Arabidopsis thaliana: one gene and its partners. The protein of the gene in region 2 purifies or fractionates together with the protein of the main gene of each other region. This does not show direct contact. Each region holds a gene or a part of one and is shown on either strand. Other genes may lie near its edges.

Region 1 (7,001 bases), about 19 Mb from region 2:
CTTTTCTTTGCTATTGAAGATAATTTGCAACATCTTTTTAAATGAAATCACCAAACTTTGATTAAAAATGTTTTATCTTGCTTTTGTATTTTCCTTGTTAAATTCTGCAGAACAATAGAAAAGCATGGATTTCACAACCGAGTGGTCTTAACTTTGTTTGGGGAGGTGACTCGAGATATTGGGTTATCCCTAAAGAACCAAGGTATCATCCGATTCATTCCGACTTAACCGATAAACCCAACTTTGGTTTACTGATACCAAAAATCTTAAACTGATTCATTTGATTGTTGGTTTTAGGATGCCTGCTGAGCTGAAGATGGTGAGTTGGTTAGAAGTAACCGGTTCATTCGACAAGATTGAACCCGGGAAAACATATCGAATCGGTTTTAAAATCTCGTTTAAACCGGATGCGACCGGTTGGGACAAAGCCCCTGTTTTCATGTCTGCTAAAATCGGGAAGAAAGGCAAGACAGTGTGGAAAAGAATCAAATCCGTTAGCCAGAACTTTGGTATACTGAAAGGTGGATCAGAACCCGTCAATATACCTGACGAGTCCGATGGCCTGTTTGAAATCTTGGTTAGTCCCACAGCGCTTAACCAAGATACTAAGCTTCAGTTTGGTCTGTATGAGGTGTGGACTGGACGATGGAAGACAGGTCTGTTGATCCACGAAGCCTTTGTTCAAGAAGTGTAAGGGGGAATATGATCATTATTGATTTTCATAATCCGAACGCAAATCTTATACCTCGTTTCAGTTCAAATATAAGAGCTTTAGATCATAACAATGTAATCTTATATACCTTTCTTGAACAAGTCTTAAAGCTCTGTATGATAATCTTCCGGTTTGAACCATAACGAGAAATCGATTCCTTTCGACTTCAAATTCTCAGTTGCGGGTGCAATTCTTTCCAGAAGCTACACCGATTAAACAAAAAATATGTGAGACCTGATCTCTAAGCACAACAGATTAAAAGCATTGATAAAAGTATGAACAGTTCATGAAACCTTGGGGTGAAGAACGCCGTTGGAGACCAAAACAGACCTATCAAACACAGAAAACTTCCCTCCGTCCATCCGAGTCACAGCTCCTCCAGCTTCCTCAACTATCTGTGTCCATTTTCTGACATGGATTAAGCTCTACAACTTAAGTACTTTAGTAAGAAAAAAACAACAAGAAGGATGAAGAAGACTACAAGAACACCAGCAGCCATGTCCCATGGCTTTAAACGGTACTCCCAATATGATTCCGCAATCCCAAGTGCAACATGACACATGTCAACTGCAGCAGCACCGAGTCTTCGCACTCCCCGACTCACATCAGTAAACTCTTTGAACAGTTCCATGTTAGTGCTCCATGCATCATCATGTTCATAACCAAACCCTGTGATAAGAAGTGCTCTCTCCACCTTCATTCAAACCCGAATAAATATCTAATAAACCAAAACCATTGAACACACCATGTCGAAACTTAAAATTGGATTCTTGATAAGTTACTTACAGCATCGGTCTTACTGACATGAATTTTTTGCCCGTTACACAATGCTCCACCACCTAAGAAGTGAACTAGTTAGACAAAATTTAGATATATAGCCAAACATAAGCTTGTCACATAGTACCTGCAGTTGCAGAAAAGGTTCGAGTGTTCCAGCACATCGGACCACCGACAAACTCTACCTGCATGATGAGATTTTGTTGTTAATCCTACTGACCAAAGAATCAGCAAATAGGAACTAACAAGCATTAGCTGGTTTGTGCAAGTATATATTGGATTTACCACAGAAGCAGCGGCGGGATTTCCACGATACAGAACACCGACGGAAACAGCAAAACTGGGATATCCATGAGCAAAATTTGTAGTTCCATCTATGCATAAAGGAATTAAGAGACTAATACTAAAAATCTCAGAGATTCCACACAAACACATGAAAAGAAAGCAATGAGATTTGTAAAGAGAGCTAAACCTAGAGGATCAATGCACCAGAGGTAATCAGAAGACGAATCGCCGATGATACCTCCTTCTTCACCAAGAATAAGATGATCACTAAAATTCTTCTTCACTACTTCCAAAATAGCAGCCTCGCTTGCTTTATCAGTACTGCAAATTCATCAAAAGTACTAAAACTTTAATAGCTTCAACCAATCAAGTCAACATGAACATAGTTAAAACCTCAAGCTAACAATTTTAAAAGGTGAAGAAGTCCTTACTCAGTTACTAAGTCACTGAGACCTTTATAAGTAATATTCCTTGGCTTATTTACAGCTTCCATAACCACCTAACAAACCAGATGATTCAATTCAAGTTAGTTTTGTTATTATTCTCCTTGTGCAGTTGTGCCCTACGAACCCAAGAACTTGATTCTAGTACCATTGAACACAATTTCAAGTCTCATCAAGAGTTTTTGTTTCCAATAAACATAAATTCAGATATTGTATTCTACAGACATGAAATTTCGAACCTCAGCGCCGGTTTTAGCGGCGAGTTCAACGACTTCAAGGAGGTGTGCCGGAGATATAGTTCCGGTGGTTTTAGCGCCGATTCTGGGATATCGCGTCTGATCAGAAACCTCAGACAGAACAGCTTTGGTTTGAAGTCTCGTTGTGGACTTGAAGCTATTAGACAAAATCCTCGTACACCGATATCGGAAAGTTCTGTTCACTGTCCGGCCTGAAATTGGGTTTTGCAGCGGAAGAGATGATCTGGGTAAGTGAGAGATTCTCAATGACATGTTTCCAGAGAATATTAGAGACCTTCCCATTGTTGGTGTCGCCGGAGAATTTTCGAATTTTTGTTGTTGTTCGGTTTTTGGTTTATATGAACGCGGCCAAGTGAACGGATGGTGGACATGAGAGAGTCCAAAAAGCTGATAGAACTTAAAATTGAAATTAATGAGAACATTGAACCAAAATCAGGTTAACAAATAACCAGAGATAACCGGTCTCTGTAGTATACTCAAATGGTTAGTTTTTGCCGATGGTGGTGCCCTAAACTCGAAAAAAAGATGGCGGCGTTTTTGCAAACTAACATCCGTCTGGAGATCATACCGGGAAGATACAGTTCTCTCACCGATCATAAGTTTCGTGCGCCGTATCGAATTAGGTGCGCCGCCGCTTCACCGGTGAAAAAACGGTATAACATCACTCTGCTTCCCGGCGATGGTATCGGTCCAGAAGTTATATCTGTTGCTAAGAATGTGCTTCAGAAAGCTGGATTTCTCCAAGGACTAGAGTTTGATTTCCAGGAGATGCCTTTCGGCGGAGCAGCTTTGGATTTGGTCGGAGTTCCATTGCCGGAGGAAACTTCCACTGCTGCTAAACAGTCTGATGCCATTCTTCTTGGAGCTATCGGAGGGTATGTGTAATGCGTGTGTGTGTTGTTTCTTCAGCAAATTTATTCTCTTTATGATGATTTTTTGTTCAGGTACAAATGGGACAAGAATGAGAAACATCTGAGACCTGAGATGGGTCTGCTTAACATTCGAAGAGATCTCAATGTCTTTGCTAATTTGAGACCTGCTACAGTTTTACCACAGGTATTGATTTGCTTATCACTTTGCTTTCTAGTTGTAAATATACTCAAATTTTTCTGTTTTTGCTTGTTCAGCTAGTTGATGCTTCCACACTGAAGAAAGAAGTAGCACAAGGTGTTGATATGATGATTGTAAGGGAGCTCACTGGAGGTATTTACTTTGGAGAGCCAAGAGGCATTACGATCAACGAAAATGGCGAAGAAGTCGGTTTTAATACAGAGATCTACGCTGCTCACGAGGTACTACTTACTCTTCACAATCTGCTGCTCTGTGACAATGTATGTGTATTAATGCATTGCTTTATCTTCTTCAGATTGACAGAATTGCTCGTGTTGCATTCGAGACTGCTAGGAAAAGGCGTGGCAAGCTGTGTTCTGTTGACAAAGCCAATGTCTTGGATGTATGTTTTGAATTGTTTTTCCACTCCACTCTTGTGTGTTTTTCGTTATACAATTATTTTTTTGTTTTGTTTCGTATAGGCATCAATATTGTGGAGGAAAAGAGTAACAGCTTTAGCCTCTGAATATCCAGATGTTGAACTATCACATATGTATGTCGATAATGCTGCGATGCAGCTTGTCCGTGACCCGAAACAGGTGATCTTCGCGCATATATAAAGCTTAGCCGTTGATTAAGCTAACACAGAAGTGGAACTTGTAGTACTCACGGCATTTTTAAAAACATTATTGCAGTTTGACACAATCGTCACCAATAACATTTTTGGTGATATATTGTCTGATGAAGCTTCAATGATCACTGGTAGCATTGGGATGCTTCCATCTGCAAGTCTTGGTGAATCGGTAAGTAAGACTAAATCTAATATTTCAAGGTTCCTCTGTTTATTATTATCATATATTGATTGTTAAACTTGTGATGAAAACTAGGGACCTGGACTCTTTGAACCTATACATGGTTCAGCACCAGATATAGCTGGACAAGACAAGGCAAACCCATTGGCCACCATTCTCAGTGCGGCGATGCTTCTCAAGTATGGACTTGGAGAAGAAAAGGCTGCAAAGATGATTGAAGACGCGGTCGTGGATGCTCTGAACAAAGGTTTCAGAACCGGAGACATCTACTCCCCCGGAAATGTATGTGTATGATGATTTCTGTCTTTTGTTTTGTATAAGTTAATGACAATATACTTAAAGAAGTCTTTTTGTGTTTTGAAAATGCAGAAACTGGTGGGATGCAAGGAAATGGGTGAGGAGGTTCTCAAATCAGTGGACTCCAAAGTTCCTGTTTAAGAAAAGTGTGTAGCCCTTGGTTTTACTGTTACTTTTTTGCTAATACATGTATTAGAAACTGTATTCTTGTAGCTTTTATAATAATAAAATATTTGGGATCGATTCTGCAATTCAAAGACAAAATTCTCCAAGAACATTTGACAAGTCTCCTGCCTCAGTACCTTGTTCTTGAAGATTGAGAAGTTCTCGCCAACTACAAAACTCAACATCTTCTTCAATCAATATTTGTTAAACGAATAAAGTTTCAAGAGAGACAAGAAACTATGTTTTTTAGCCGCTAGAGTATTACATTTTTCTACTGAAAAACCAAACTTATAAAACATAACATTTATAAATCCGAAAACAACTATCAATCATCAGGTTAGCCTTTGGATTCACGACGACTTATCAGATTTGCGTTCAGCGTCTGCGGCAGACTGCATTTGAGCTGCATATGGTAAGTTCCAGAGAACATCTTTAAAGGAAGTCTTGCAGAAGGTTCAAGCAAAACACATTTATTGGCGATTGAGATGGCAATTGGGTAAAGACTCCTGCGAGCTTGTTGTTAGGACCGTTGGACTTCCTATTTTCTGTCGACAGTCTTGGCTCCCAAATGACGTCTGCAAATACAACATTGCAGCAACAGCTATTAACAATGATGAAGATTTGCTTCTTTTCTTTACCCTATATGATACCATTTCGTTGAGAAGATAGGCCTCTCCTTTTTGTAGTAGGTACTGGTCCTATCAGAGATTCCAGAAGTATGAATCCAAAGTTGTACACATCGCCCTCTGTTTTAGCCATTTTCCTGCATAATTCCAAAGCTAAGAAACGTGATGAATCGAAATCGTCTGTGGCTTCCTTTAACTCTTCAAAAGAAAATGACCGGAATGAGGGCACACCTTGTGCACCTAGCTTTGCTGCTTGAGAGATTAACCCTGCAAGACGAAGTCGTACAAGGATATTAAATTCCTGAAAGACAATTGCCACCAGGCGGAGGTCTACAATTTGAGTCAAAGTTACTCACTTGCACTAGCAAGAACTTCGGAGGAGAGACTGGTGTGTGAGTTATCTCTGTCACAACCTTAAGCCGAGTTTGAGGCACTGACCTTTCTCTTGAACAACAGCAAGAGCAGCGGTTTATACACACAAGAACAAATACATCTCCACCAAGGACAGCAACCAAAATCCCAATCTTTCTTCCTTGGAACTGTTTTCCCTCAGTTTCAGCCTCTTCGATTACGAATTCTTGATGCTGATCATGACTGCCAATAATGGAAAAGAAACGGGGAGGGGTCCCAATTAATCTGTTATTCGACAAATCCAAGTTTGCCTCCACAGGTCAGATTATGCTGTAGCTTCCCACTGAGCTTGTTAGATGCAAAGTCTAAGTAACTAATGTTTGGCAAAGAGAACAAGAACCGAGATGAAGTTCCAGTCAGATGATTGAACGTCAAGTCAAGATGCTGAAGCTGAGACAAACAACCAAAACTTCTGGTAGTAACCAATAGACCTGAGGCTGTTGATTGATCACACTCGAAACCTCATTGAATCTAACATCTTACACAAAAACAGAAACAGCCTTATTTCTGAATCCAACAACAGCTGCCAAAACTTGAAAGTAGCTAACAAAAGGAAATGATTCCACCACAATGGCTCCTGCTTCAGTTCAGAGCAGCTTATAGAAATCTGAATAACGGATTCTTGATTACACAATTCATTATACCAAAACCATATAAAGGATTACTACAGATTCAACAAAAATTCACAACCTTCCTTAAATCATTCTTCTGCCATTTGATGATGAACATATTCAAATTCCCAGAAATATCCATCCTTACTATCTCCAACAGATGCAGAAAAAAGAATCAGAATTTTAAAACCCTAATTTTACCAATTACGTAGCTCACAAGATCCAAAATAACCTTTCGCCGACAACAACAACAAAACCACCGTATCTAACGCTGCTCAAACTCTCGCTGATGGCGAGAGAGACAGAGAGAAAGTGAAAGCTGAGCGTATTCGCACTGTTTACGCTTAAGGCTTGTTCCGCCGCTAGAGCAAAGAGACCTCACCGCCTCTGATTCCTCCGGACAAGCCTCCGCCACCACGCACTCCGCAAACGCCTTGTTCAAATGTCTGCAACCGGATCTCCTTGCCGGTCCTTCCGGCATCCGACGGTGGCACTGCAACAACGCTTCCTCCAACCGATCGCAAGATTTCATCGGAATCTCTCTGATTTTTCCGG
Region 2 (7,111 bases):
TAGCTCTGTATTTGTGAAAAGAGAGCAGTAGCTATGTCTTTCTAATCTACTTAATTAACTAACCTTTGGTGCGGAGAGGTTTTGATGGTCTTTTGTCCATATTTCCTCCAGATGAAGCCATCAATGTGGGCCGGTGTCGGAGAATCTTCCATACCTTGTATTCCACACATCTTTCTGCAATGTTGTATCAGAGCAATGTTCACTAGGATACTTGCATCGAAAGTGGTAGAAGAAATAGAGTAACATAGACCAAAACAGGTGTGTGTTTTCTACTTGATTTAGAGTTTTTAATAATTTACTTCTTTGATGATCTTTGAGACACATGACGTGGTATGTTCTGAGAAGACAGAGCAAACGAGAAAGAATCAAGAATGGAGTTGATGAGTGGCTCTGTTGAAACTGAGCCTGTTTCATGGTTTTTGAGGAGCGTCTTGAGATTGTTAGCGCATCCTTGGCCAAGGAGGAGTGCTGAGACAGCCTTCGCATCAATCTCAAGAGACATATTTTCTGTTTAGGATAATTCAGGTTAATCTGTTATTAGTTTATATAGAGATCAGCAAAGGTTTCTACTTCTAGAGACATAAAACATTGTTTTCTTTTTAAAAAAAGAAAGTGGAAAGTGTAGCCTTATCGAATAAACTATCCACAAAATGTGTAAAGTGTAAACGCAATAAAAGTAACTTGGCGCCATCAATGTTGACATTTGGTAATTCACAAACGTGTGACGAGACGACGTAGTTGGAAGGTCTTGTGCGATTGTTAGCCTTTAAACAATCAATAACATTAACAAGTTAAGGGACACTTCAAAGTAGCCAGACAGCTTGAGGTCAAGTCTAACTAAGGAAGGCACCTTCCTCTCACCTAATCCAACAGACTAATTATATTTAATACACATCTTGGTCTGTTGGACATGAATCCCATGGAATATCTCTAGGTAGTTATTAACCTGGATATAGAAGCTGGGTGCATAAATCATTGGATCATGCTTTTTGATGAATAGTGAACCATAGGACTTGTTTCTACAGAAGAACTTAGGAACTTGGTATTATATAGTGTAGCTGAAACTGAAAGCTACAAGATTTGAATAAGTAAGTTCTACATATACACTAACACAGTCATACATACATGTGTGTGTGCGTCAATGTGTGATCCCATAAGTTCCGCTTTGTAGCATTACAATTTTGGTCTTCCGTAGAAGCCGCAACGATTGTAACACCTCGCAATTCATGATTATCAATAATTTCAGCTAATAACCATGTATTAGGCAAGTGTCCGCCACAAAAACAGAGAAGAACAATAACTCTGTTCGTTAACGTTAGCCATAAAACAGACCGTAACAAATAGCGAAGCAGAGCATGTGCTCTGTTTTTTTGCTTTGTACTCATTACTAACCTTATAGGAAATCTTCTCTTGCTACACCTGTTTATTTTCATCAATGCTAATACTATATTACATACCAAAACCCTACCCCTGCAACAGTAAAGAACTCCTAATGGCATTATTAACACAGACATAGTGAGAAATCATCCTAAGACCCTCAAAAATCAATCATCTGTAATTAATTAACAGAACTAAACGCCAAAATTCTCGACATTAGTTCAGGATCGCCTAAGGCCCTAATTATCATTTTTTAAATTAGACCCCTAAGATTCTTGGTTGCGACCAATGCATACACTGCCGATAAATTGGATTCACGTCTTTCCAATGCTGGTTCGTTGGATACTCTACCAATATTTCTATCACCGTTATCATCTATGTGCTCTGATTCCTCACGCAGCTCATAACCAGCATGCTATAACGCAAGACGGAAACAATCGCGATAGAGACGTCATCGAACCAACCATGGAAATTATACAAGTATTTAGATTGAACAATTAGTTCATCAAGTTTTGTGTCAAATTTTATTTCTTTTCAATTGTGCAGAGCATCTTTACCGGTACACTTGAGGCTAATTTAAGACAAGATCGAATATAAAACATTAGCTCTTCTTCAACACCACATCATTTCTCTTCCAAGAACTTCAATCAAGCGCAGTCAAATTTTGAGACATGATCTCAACCGCACGTTCGATTTCCTCCTCTGATATAACCAACGGAGGAACAATCCTGACGACATTTCCTTTCCCCGCTGTCAAGATCAGAAGACCCGAATCTCGGCAAGCATCAACCAGTGAGCTTGCCGGCACATCGAGCTCCACTCCTATGATAAGCCCTTCGCCTCTCACTTCCTTCACGTGCGAGTTTCCTCCAAGTTTTTTCACCAACAGGTCTCTAAAGTATCGACCTTTATTTGAGACACTGGACAAGAAAGAGGGTTTCGATACTTTATCCATAACTGCAATGGCTGCACTGCACACAAGAGGGCTGCCTGCAAATGTACTTCCATGATCTCCGTAGTTTATGGTCTCTGCAACCTTTTCAGTCACCAGCACCGCTCCAATAGGTAAACCACCAGCTAAAGGCTTTGCAACCGTCATTATGTCAGGAGTCACACCGAAGGCTTCATAAGCCCACATGAGACCCGTTCGACCCAAACCACATTGAACCTGGGACAATGAACCCAGTTGAGGCAAGACCAATCAAAAAACAGAAACAAAGAAAGAAAATAAAATTTTGGATGGACGGTAGAGTATATTACCTCATCGAAGACGAGAAGAGATCCAGCGGCATCACAAGCAGAGCGCAGAGATTGCAGAAACTCTTTTGTAGCAGAGTAAATCCCGCCTTCTCCTTGAATTGGTTCCACAAAAACTGCAGCTATTTTACCTGAGCGGATAAGGTCTGTGGCTGCTTGAATGTTACCATATTCTAAGAAGGTTACACCAGGCATGATGGGTTCGAAAGGAGTTCTGTATTGTTCTTTGCTTGTCAAGGCAAGAGCTCCTAAGGTTCTTCCATGGAAGCTGTTTGTAAAGGCGATGAAACCTGTCGCGACTTCTTTGTCTTCTGGATGGGTGAATCTCTGGAATTTTCTTGAAAACTTAATGGCTGCTTCATTGGCTTCCGTTCCCGAGTTACAAAAGAATACACGGTCTGCAAAAGAACTCGCCACCAAGCGTTTTGCGAGCTCTATCTGCAGAGAAGTTCAAACATTTCAGATTTTAACAACCCATATGAAGTAGATATGAGCATAAAGGTTCCTTTTTTCGAGGAATTGGGCATTGAGGAGCATATGTACACTAAGAGTTTACAATGAGGTCAGATACTTCTCATAAAAATTTCTATAGGGAAGGCGTAGAAACAATCCAATTTGATGAAATTTCAAAGTGCAAGTACTTGTCATAGAATAATCTCGCTATTATAAGTAGAAGACTAATCCAACATTCCCTAGCATGTTTCCATAGGCCATAGCTCAATCACACAGAGGATAAAAACAACAAAAGTTTTAAGCTTTCGTCAGCCATCAACAGAATCAGTAATGCAAAAATACAGTAACGAATAAATACCTGAGGGATCGTGTAATAAACATTGCTGACATGGGCAAGAACACCAGCTTGCTCAGTGACAGCTCGAAGCCAATCAGGATCTCCATGACCAAGAGCATTCACAGCGATTCCAGATGCACAATCCAGATACTCTTTTCCTTCAGGGTCGAACAATTTACAACCTTTCCCACTCGAGAGAACCACTGGAGCTCGCGCGTAGGTACCCACAATAACTTTGGCTTCCTCTTCAATCACCTTCTGGCTCACACTCGCTTTTACCGACACCGCTTGGTCCCCTGCGTTAGTCAATACGCTCGCAATCCGGCCGTTGAATCCGATCCGGGTTCTGATGATCGGCCGCTCCAATCGACGGCGTAAGAGGCCAATCTCCGACGACGGCGCGCGTGGCAGGGTGATTTGGCTAAGAGACGCCATTTTCGTGTGTCGGGACAATAAAGAGTCGTTAAGACAAAATAGCTGAGATTAATTCTATTTCTAGGGTTTTAAGGCCAGTGATAATTTTACTACTACTGGTTTAGCTGAGCTTAATAAAGAATCTGATTAGTATCTTACTTTTTCCGTAATTACGTGTTTTTAGTATTAATGGTTTGAAATTTCTAAATTATTTATAACGATGAAAAAGAATGCAAGACTGCAGATATTTTTTAGTCCATCAATCATAATACAAAATATAGTAAAATGTTTGGAACGTGTTACACTGATTATAAATGTCGATGTAATACATCTTACCAGAGATAATAAGAAAGAACAAACAAAAAAAAAAAGGTGTACATCTATTATCTAAGTAGATAATTACATCTCATCCTAATAAAATGGGAGAAAGATAAGAATCATTTAGGAGATTGGCAGAACAAAAATCTTACTACCAGCTAAACTAGAAGATATTGTTAACACACTTAACCATAGTCTCGAACCACTTCACCTTCAGGCGAATCTTCTTCAGCTTCCACCGGGATATGGGTGAAGGATATATAGGATTAATCTACGTTCTTCATATTCATATAGTTACAGTTCAAAAAACATGTTTGTGGACGGAGGAGGTATAGTGGTATAGTGTTGTGTAATGGGAAAAACAAAAGAATGATATGCTTGTGGCTCGCCCGTTCAGCAGACAACTTCAGGGCTCGGGTCGTTATCTAGAGGCATGTTTAGGTCAGGGAGCAAGAAGGAAGAACCTTGTTCGAAAGTGAGTTTGCACGATAAGGCAGATTGTGATTCAGCCTGCATACACATGAAAATGATATACTTGAATAATTAACATGTTTATCTTCCGTATATATGATTGAATGAGTACATGTATAGAAAGATAGAGAGAGAGAGAGAGAGAGAGCGATGGGCTCACCTTCATCTTCTTTAGAGCAGTGTTTCTTGCTCTTTGTTGCTCGAGCAAATCGCGCATATTTGCCAATTCCTGATTCAAGAATAAGATTAACCAAATCTAAGATTAGAACTTGGACTTGATATATAGAGACATAAAGAAAGAGGCTAAAATGGAGGTTATACATTTTTCAGGCCGTTACTTTCCTTCAAGAGCATGATCTCTTCCTCTTTAAGCTCAGCCAAAGTCTGTCAACAATCATATATATTAATTAGAGAAATATAGGTTTGAATCGGCTAAAATGTAAAACCATATCAGTCCAAATGTAGAAAATATAAGATTGCTAGGCGTATCTTAGACAATATGCCTCAACAGATTTAAACAAACCAGTAGGTAGTAGCCTGGTCAGAGTTGCTCTATGTCTGGTCTAAAACTAGTAATATTATCTTTTAACAGTATCAGTAACTAATAGAAACACTGTCTTTCGTATTTTTTACCTTCTTCTTTCTTGATCTCTTGAAAAGGGTTGTTGTTGTTGTTGTTGTTATTGCACTCGTTTGAGAAATCTGGACATCAAAACAAAAACAATCAGATTATGGCTTAAGACACACAACACCACCAGATAAAGCCAGCTCAACAATCAATAATCACACCAAACTAATACCGTAAAAACAATTTGTTTTTGTATTGTATATCATTTCTATAAAGAAACCACACACCTACCATTCGAGAGAGACTTTAGAGGCACGATAAGTTGGAAACAAAAGAATCACTTCATCAGCATATTAACAAATAACAACTAGAACTTGGAAATCTAAAAGAAAATTCCAAATCATGTAAATTTCAGCAGTATCTTCTTGGTCAACTACTCAAAAAGAAAAAACAGAAGGGCAAATAAATAAATATATAGAAAAACATAGAAACACGTGAGTGGAGCGTGACTTGGGAGACTTTTAAATATAAAGCGTGTGTGTTTGGTCGTCACATTCACACGTCATGCTTTTCCTTGTCCTCCAACCCCAAACTAGTGTCACGTATTCTCCACACCACCACTTGTCCTTATTATCTATCATCTTTCTATTTTTATTTTATTCTACCCAAAAATTCCATTTCCTTTAGTTTGACGACTTTACTTTGGTTTTCAAATTATAACCCACCGATCAAAGTCAACTTCAAATCAGACAACAATCTTAACTAAACTTTGTAAAAAAAAAAGTAAAACAGGCTAACTCAACAAGACTGTCACCAAGAAAATCTGACGGACGAATCACAGGACCTAATCCGTTGCAACAACTGAGGACTTTGACCACTACTACTAGAGAACGAGTACATACTACTTATTGTCCACTGCGCCACATCTGATAACTGCTCTCCCCACTAAACCCTACCACACACGTACCTAATCCACTCATACTCTAATCTTAAATTCAATTCCACGAAAACGCCTCCCAAATTATAAATAACGCCAGCGATAATCTCTGGCATTGACTAATATACCCTCTATCGTGAGAAGCAGCTAACCTGGTGACAAGGGTTAATTTAGTCATTAGCTTGGTAATGATAATGAATGTGTTTATTTTTTCTCTTTAGCATTGAAGTCTACAACGCTGATTTGACCCAGAAGACCTCTCCCCTCTCCCTTGATGTGAGGGCTTTGTGGTCTTTCCGCAAAGCAGCATAGAGAGAGAGAGAGAAAGATGACTGAGATGCACAAAAGTGGGAAAACGTGACTCTTTTGTTGCCAAAAGAAAAGAGCAAAAAGCAGAGATCACCGAATTTATCACCTGTTTGTTTGAAACTCAAAAACAATCTAACAAGTGTTTCCAAGAAGACAACAAAAGAAATCGAGAAAGATAGATTGAGTTTCTTGGAAAAGAAAAGACTAAAAACATCATTGCCTAAATTGGAGTTGTGTCCACGCTGGGGGTATTTCGGTCAACGAAAAGTCGGTGTACCTACATGATCAGCTTAAGAACACGATCGTGGATCCTAAAATGACCAAAATACCCACAAGCTACCAACTGAAATGTCAAGGGCGTACTCGGTAGTAGATCAGCCCAAACCACAACAAAGACGCTTAAAATTACGTTTTTAAAAACTAAAATCATGACAGTGCAAAACGCCGCATCACGAGGGCTATAGCAGAAAACAAGACCTACGAGATATGACCGTCGCGGAGTTTCAAATCGGATAAACAAAAAAATGAGTGAAATGATCGGACAAACCTTAGATCTAAATGGCTCAGAGGGTTTTACGGCGGCGCTAGACTCCTCGAGGCCTTCCATGGTGGTAGCACCGGCGCCGCTTCCACCGCTGCCGCCTCCGCCGCTAAGAGACGTGGCACCGCT
Region 3 (7,458 bases), on a different chromosome or scaffold from region 2:
AAGGAAGAAAGGTTGGGATTTTGATTGCTGTCATTGGTGGAGCTGTTCTTGTTCTTGTGTTTTTTGTATTAGTTATCCTCCTCCTGTTATGCACAAACCGCTGCTCTAGCTGTTGTTCAAGAGAAAAGTCAGTGCCGCAAACTCGGCTTAAGGTTGTGACAGATAACTCACACACCAGTCTCTCCTCTGAAGTTCTTGCTAGTGCAAGTGAGTAACTTTTGACTCAAAATGTAGACTATTCCTGCTAGGAATTGTCTTTCAGGGATTTAATATCCTTGTATGATTTCGTCTTGCAGGGTTAATCTCTCAAACAGCAAAGCTAGGTGCACAGGGTGTGCCCTCATGCCGGTCCTTTTCTTTTGAAGATTTAAAGGAAGCCACAGACGATTTTGATTCATCACGTTTCTTAGGTGAAGGCTCCCTTGGAAAGGTATGGTTTGTCTTCTGCAAGATTAATTCTTGTGATCTGCCTATCTGTCATTTGCTTTACTCTGCTTGTTTTGATCCTTTGCAGCTATACAGAGGAACACTGGAAAATGGAAGTTCCATAGCTATCAGATGTCTGGTTTTATCAAGGAAATTCTCCAGCCAGAGTATCAGAGGTCACTTAGACTGGATGGCAAAGCTCAACCATCCTCATCTCCTTGGCTTCTTGGGCCATTGTACGCAAACCAGCGGAGAACACGATCCTGTTGCAACCATACTCTACCTTGTATACGAGTATATGCCCAACGGGAGCTATCGCACACATCTATCAGGTCAGTCGTTTGGCATTTGTAGTAAACTAAATGTTATACTGAATCTCTCTGTACTTGGAAAATCGTTGTTGTTAGAATATTGTTTATTTGTAGAATCTTTCTCGGAGAAGATCCTGACATGGCCAGATCGGCTAGCAATTCTGATTGAGATAGCAAAGGCAGTTCATTTTCTTCACACCGGTGTAATGCCTGGTTCATTCAACAATCAGCTTAAGACTAACAATATTTTGCTTGACGAACACAAGATTGCAAAGCTCAGTGACTATGGAGTCTCTGCCATCATTGAAGAGAACGAAAAGCTTGAGGTTTGCTCTATTTACTCTCTTTCACTGTGTTTATCTTCATTTTGTATGATCTTCTTTGACACTAACTCAGGACTCTACTTTACTCCTGCTTCTACATTTTGCAGACAAAGTCAGAAACCCACAAGTCAAAGTATGCATCTTTTGTCCTTGTATAGCAAAACTCCATGGCATTTATGAGAATCTAATCCAAACTTTGAGATTATGCAGGAAAAAGGCTAAAAGAGAGGACGATGTGTACAACTTCGGATTCATACTTCTGGAATCTCTGATAGGACCAGTGCCCACTACAAAAGGAGAGGCTTTTCTTCTCAACGAAATGGTAACAAAGAGAAAAAGCAAAAAAAAAAAGCATCATCATTGTTATTTGATTGAAACAAATTTGGTTAATAGCTGTTGCTGCAATGTTGTGTTTGCAGACATCATTTGGGAGCCAAGACGGTCGGCAGAAAATAGTAAGTCCAACAGTCCTAACAACAAGCTCGCAGGAGTCTTTATCGATTGCGATCTCAATCGCCAATAAATGTGTTTTGCTTGAACCTTCCGCAAGACCTTCCTTTGAAGATGTTCTCTGGAACTTACAATACGCAGCTCAAATGCAGTCTGCCGCAGACGCTGAACGCAAATCTGATACGTCGTCGTGAATCCAAAGGCTAACCTAATGATTGATAGTTTTTTCGGTTTTCTAAATGTAAAGCTCTATAAGTTTGGTTTTCAGTATAAAAATGTAAGACTCTTGAGACTAAAAATCATAGTAGCTTGTCTTCTCTTGAAACTTATTTCGTTAAACAAATATTGATTGAAGAAGATATTGAGTCTTGTAGTTGAAGAGAAATTCTCAATCTTCAAGAACAAGGTAAGTAAAGGCAGGAGACCTGTCAAATGTTTTTGGAGAATCTTGTCTTTGAATTGCAGAATCGATCCCAAATAATTTATTTATTATAAAAGGTACAATGTTGCATGGATTAGCATATAAGTGACCGTAAAACCAAGTGCTACACAAACTTTTTCAAGTGCTTCAAATCATCAATAAACTTAAACAGTAGCTGGAACTTTGGATTCCACTGATTTGAGAACCTCCTCACCCATTTCCTTGCATCCCACCAGTTTCTGCATTTTCAAAACACAAAAGACTTTTTTAAGTATTTTGTTACGAACTTGTACAAAACAAATGATAAGAATCATCATGCACATACATTTCCAGGGGAGTAGATGTCTCCGGTTCTGAACCCTTTGTTCAGAGCATCCACGACAGCGTCTTCAATCCTCTTTGCAGCCTTTTCTTCTCCAAGTCCATACTTCAGAAGCATCGCCGCGCTGAGAATGGTGGCCAATGGGTTTGCCTTGTCTTGTCCAGCTATATCTGGTGCTGAACCATGTATAGGTTCAAAGAGTCCAGGTCCCTGATTTCATCACAAGTTTAACATTTCGCATTAGTTTATAAACAGGAGGAGCCTTGAAAGATGTTAGTTAATTTTGTTTACCGATTCACCGAGACTAGCAGATGGAAGCATTCCAATGCTTCCAGTGATCATTGAAGCTTCATCAGACAATATATCACCAAAAATGTTATTGGTAACGATTGTGTCAAACTGCATTGTTTTAAAAACACCGTGAGTACTAGTTCCACTTCTGAGTTAGCTTAATCAACGACTAAGTTTGATATATGTGCGAGAAGCACCTGTTTCGGGTCACGAATAAGCTGCATTGCAGCATTATCGACATACATATGTGATAGTTCAACATCTGGATATTCAGAGGCTAAAGCTGTTACTCTTTTCCTCCACAATATTGATGCCTACATGAAACAAAGAAATTTGCATTTCGTAAAACACACAAAAGTGGAAAAACAATTCAGTGAACTAACAGAACGTACATCCAACACATTGGCTTTGTCAACAGAACAAAGTTTGCCACGCCTTTTCCTAGCAGTCTCGAATGCTACACGAGCAATTCTGTCAATCTGAAGAACATAAATCAATGCATTAATATCCATACATTGCCAATATTGTCACAGAGCACAGTGTGAAGGGTTATTACCTCGTGAGCAGCGTAGATCTCTGTACTAACGCCGACTTCTTCGCCATTTTCATTGATCGTAATGCCTCTTGGCTCTCCAAAGTAAATACCTCCTGTGAGCTCCCTAACAATCATCATATCAACACCTTCTGCTACTTCTTTCTTCAGTGTGGAAGCATCAACTAGCTGAACAAGCAAAACAGAAACATTTGAGTTTATTTACAACTAGAAGCAAAATTCAAGTGCTAAGCAAATCAAAACCGAAGATACCTGTGGCAAAACTGTAGCAGGTCTCAAATTAGCAAAGACTTTGAGATCTCTTCTAAGGTAAAACAGAGCCATCTCAGGTCTCAGATGTTTCTCATTCTTGTCCCATTTGTACCTGAACAATAATCATCCAAACCTCAAGATCAGAATAAATTTGGAAGCAGATTGCTAAAGAAACAGCACTCACACACATACCCTCCAATAGCTCCAAGAAGAATGGCATCAGATAGTTTTGCAGCCGTGAAAGTTTCCTCCGGCAATGGAACTCCAACCAAATCCAAGGCTGCTCCTCCGACAGGCATCTCCTTGAAATCAAACTCCAGTCCTGTGATACAAAAGCAAAGACACAATCATCTACTGGCTAAGCAAACACACTCGTTGTTTCCAAAAACCATTGAGAAAGAGAAAGAACCTTCGAGAGATCCAGCTTTCTGAAGCACATTCTTAGCAACAGAGATAACTTCTGGACCGATACCGTCTCCGGGAAGCAGAGCGATGTTATACCGTTTTTTCCCAGGTGAAGCGGCGGCGCACCTAATTCGATACGGCGCACGAAACTGATGATCGGTGAGAGAACTGTATTTCCCCGGGACGATCTTGATCGCATTCAGACTGATGTTCGTTTGCAAAAACGCCGCCATTTTTTTTGGGAGTTAGCAAATTTGAAATTGTGTCACAATAGTTATATAACATAAAGAGTTTGGTACTTAGATAGGTGTGCACGTTTTTTGAATTACGCCATTAAAGATTTGTTTTTTTAAATGGCTTAAATTATCCTTTTTACCTATAAACTGGCTCACCAGCTAAACCATGCCATTGCTTGTTTAGGAAAAGAAGAAGAAGAAGCGCCACTATAATTGGGCCTTTACCAAAGATTGGCCCATTTTAAAGTCGAAATATTGGGCCGCTCTTATAGCCCATCAAAGTACCAGGAGAAGTTCTTAAAAGTTAAAACGTAGTAGTAGAGGAACAATAACGGCTGATTATTTAATTTTATGATCGGATATTCGGATTTTGTCAAATCGTCTGGTTAGTCCAAGGATGAACACGAACTGTTTTTAACATAATACTTCTATAACAAAAATAAATTTAAAGTAACTAAATTAAAGCCTAAATGACCAAAGATTCTTAAATATTTGCAAAAAACAGAAACGAAAGGCGAGGCAAATCCACCACACCACGTGAGAGTTATGACCAATTTTTGATGTTTTCTGAATATGATACGTATCATAAAAAGTGTGTTCATACTTCATAGGGGATAGGGATAATAGTATAATACTATATTGTTGAAGTGTGGACACACAAATAATATGAAAGCAAGACTTTGTATATAAATTATTTGGAACATTGTGTACCCCCAAATTATTAATCATTATCCAAATTTAGCATGTCTCGAGGTTTTTTTTCTTTTTTTTGTATTTTTGACTACCGGACACTGTGTGCATGCAGGGTGTGAAACGAAAGCGTACCGATGTAGAATTTTTTTTTTTTTTTTCTTTCTTCTTTGAGTTCGAGAAGAAACAAGTAACGGAAACTGATGTCATAGTCCATTTATCCGTCCCTACAGCATCTACAATCGCCTTTAACAGTTTCTTCTTTCGTCCTATCTTCTTTTTATCACTCCACATTAAAACAAAATGATATTATTACAACATTTGTATGATTTTTTTAAATATATTTTTTGCTTATGAGTTATTATAGATCTCAGGAATTTAACATTTTTCTTTTCTTAATTTTGTTTAGATTGCCTTGCTAGTTGCTATTACTATTCACTCATTAAATTAATGTGTATATATAGGATATGAAATTGTCTCCATCAAGTTTTGTGTTTTATATATCTAGGCTGTGTAATCGATACAAATATACAAACCAGAGATCTTGTTTTTAAAAAAAATTAGTCAGCTCTTTTCTAGACTAAGCTATTGGATGTATCTCCTTTACTATTCTTTTCTTCACATTGAAAACATATGGAAGTACTTTTATTATCATGAGATCTTCTATTTTTTTTTTTCTCTTTTATAAAGATTATTTTCCATTCATCTCAGTTCCACGTATTATTTTAAATGTTTATCATAATAACCTCGCTCTCTCAAAAAAGTTAGAAATCATGGCATGGTCACACTGATCATCCCTCCACTTATATATAGAAACTTTAGTAAATGTTGTATCGACGATAGCAGTGGATGATTCACCACTTCTAGAAACTATTCATAAATGCTTGTCTTATTTTTTGTGCATGATTCAATTCTTAATTTATGTTTACACACCATAAATTGTTTTTTTTTCTAAATAAGTTTTTGTCTATCCATAGTTGCTAACGTGGTTTTGCATTTTTATAAATAGCTAATAATTCCATTTTCTATTATCTTATCCGTCACCCCTTCTCTCTATATAAAACCATTTTCACTTTCCTATAAACGTACGTGATAACCCCTATATATATCTCAATGGCCGGTTCGGTTATGGTTCCGTCCGTTTCAATCGGTTTAGCCTTATCTGTCTTAATCTTCTTCGCTCTTTCCCTCAAGACCCTTGAAGCTCGTGGAACCTTCGGCAGGCTTGCCGGACAGCCACCGCAGAGGACTGCTGCCGGCGGCATATGCGCTTCTTCTGTTCACATATTTGGTTACAAGTGCGAAGAACATGATGTACGTACGACATTCTTTTTTTTTCTATATAGCTATTGATGATGATTACTCATCGATATATTAACTGATAAAGCTGCTATTTTAATTGTTAAATTATGAAGGTGGTGACTCAAGATGGGTACATATTGAATATGCAAAGGATACCGGAAGGACGAGCCGGAGCCGTCGCCGGAGATGGGGGAAAGAGACAACCTGTCCTAATACAACATGGAATTCTTGTCGTAAGTTTTACTCTTCCTTACCTTTTTGCATCGCCTTAACCGTCAATTAACTTGTGTATACACACGCATGCTACTTTTATGTGCAGATAATTATTGTGATAATATCAAACTTTGTTCCAACATGCATGAAATACATCCAAACTACAAAGTCTATTATTAAAAACATATATAGCTGTAATTAAACCACTGCATCGCACTCGGAATATCTGATTACTACATTGAAGCTGTTTTCCATTACATAAATTTTTGAAAGTAAGAAAAAGTGGAAAGTGACGTCAAGGGATAGTGAGAAAAACATTATTAGGAGAACATTTTATACCCGTTTTCAGAAGTTATACAAATGGAGAATATGTGCATATATTATTTCAAGATGATTTACATCTATAAATAGACATATACACGTGGGCCAAAACCAAACGTGTATACTTCCAGTGGATGCCTCATCAACAAGTATGTACATACATATATATATATATATATATATATATATATATATATATATATGTACATTTATCCTTATATCGTATGTGCGTGCGAGTTTGAAACTTACAAGTAAGATTAATTAGATTAATGTCTGTATCTTTTTTTGATAAAGAATGTGCATATGTGTTATCTTAGTGGTGGTAAAATTAAAACATTAAATAAAGAGACAGCATGAGTGTTAAACATGTGTGTCCAACAAATAAAGTGATAATTGGAGCGTTACTAGAAAGGTAATTAAAATAAACTCAAGTGATAAACAACTTTTCTGGTATGGAAGAATGATTGTACCGTACGTAAGTGATATTATATAAATAACCGTGTCGACTCTCGACTCTGGTACTCATCGAATTCTTAAAAATCATCGATAAAGTGCATAAGTACAAAACTTGATGAGATCAGTACTACTATTTTCATCAGCCTGCTAGAAAGAAAATACTTTATGACTTGCCTTATGTTTTAAGTTTTATGTGGACAGAGACGACAGTCGTACGTATGCAGAATTGTAATTTGTCTCTTTGACAACATGGTCCTTTAATTTCTTATAGTTTACATTACTATGATAGTCAAATAATCATGAGTTAAATGTGCAGGATGGGATGTCATGGCTGTTGAATCCAGCGGATCAAAATCTGCCGTTGATTTTGGCGGATCAAGGATTCGATGTGTGGATGGGGAACACAAGAGGGACTAGATTCAGCAGAAGACACAAGTACCTTAACCCTTCTCAACGGGTCTGGTTCAGTGAACCACTGTTTTAACC

What was found.
Region 1: the proteins of WIN1 (region 2) and IMD3 fractionate together in Arabidopsis thaliana (co-fractionation; one large-scale study listed by BioGRID). This does not show direct contact.
Region 3: the proteins of WIN1 (region 2) and IMD1 fractionate together in Arabidopsis thaliana (co-fractionation; one large-scale study listed by BioGRID). This does not show direct contact.

Annotation. Positions count from the first base shown.
Region 1 is NC_003070.9:11,140,616-11,147,616, reverse strand, and holds IMD3 (isopropylmalate dehydrogenase 3), read left to right. Parts: upstream 1-2,899; 5' UTR 2,900-2,954; coding exon 2,955-3,349; intron 3,350-3,418; coding exon 3,419-3,530; intron 3,531-3,601; coding exon 3,602-3,766; intron 3,767-3,840; coding exon 3,841-3,927; intron 3,928-4,006; coding exon 4,007-4,123; intron 4,124-4,219; coding exon 4,220-4,327; intron 4,328-4,411; coding exon 4,412-4,618; intron 4,619-4,705; coding exon 4,706-4,774; 3' UTR 4,775-5,156; downstream 5,157-7,001. Other genes in the region: PP2-A9 (phloem protein 2-A9), read left to right, coding at 299-694; IMPL1 (myo-inositol monophosphatase like 1), read right to left, coding at 817-915, 1,006-1,107, 1,194-1,406, 1,499-1,551, 1,617-1,674, 1,775-1,863, 1,962-2,095, 2,206-2,273 and 1 more; AT1G31175 (cytochrome C oxidase biogenesis Cmc1-like protein), read right to left, coding at 6,712-7,001.
Region 2 is NC_003070.9:30,296,655-30,303,765, forward strand, and holds WIN1 (HOPW1-1-interacting 1), read right to left. Parts: upstream 4,005-7,111; 5' UTR 3,860-4,004; coding exon 3,446-3,859; intron 3,073-3,445; coding exon 2,638-3,072; intron 2,546-2,637; coding exon 2,021-2,545; 3' UTR 1,808-2,020; downstream 1-1,807. Other genes in the region: WRKY66 (WRKY DNA-binding protein 66), read right to left, coding at 64-174, 300-502; AT1G80610 (uncharacterized protein), read right to left, coding at 4,550-4,666, 4,788-4,856, 4,949-5,011, 5,261-5,329, 6,989-7,111.
Region 3 is NC_003076.8:4,572,749-4,580,206, reverse strand, and holds IMD1 (isopropylmalate dehydrogenase 1), read right to left. Parts: upstream 4,085-7,458; 5' UTR 3,988-4,084; coding exon 3,759-3,987; intron 3,672-3,758; coding exon 3,542-3,671; intron 3,462-3,541; coding exon 3,350-3,461; intron 3,266-3,349; coding exon 3,101-3,265; intron 3,024-3,100; coding exon 2,937-3,023; intron 2,859-2,936; coding exon 2,742-2,858; coding exon of another isoform or gene 2,740-2,741; intron 2,653-2,739; coding exon 2,545-2,652; intron 2,464-2,544; coding exon 2,257-2,463; coding exon of another isoform or gene 2,245-2,256; exon of another isoform or gene 2,171-2,244; coding exon 2,096-2,170; 3' UTR 1,805-2,095; downstream 1-1,804. Other genes in the region: AT5G14210 (Leucine-rich repeat protein kinase family protein), read left to right, coding at 1-207, 297-430, 515-1,063, 1,168-1,193, 1,271-1,382, 1,480-1,704; MPL1 (Myzus persicae-induced lipase 1), read left to right, coding at 5,794-5,994, 6,096-6,215, 7,289-7,429. UniProt on the Arabidopsis thaliana protein: Involved in both glucosinolate and leucine biosynthesis; catalyzes the oxidative decarboxylation step in both leucine biosynthesis (primary metabolism) and methionine chain elongation of glucosinolates (specialized metabolism).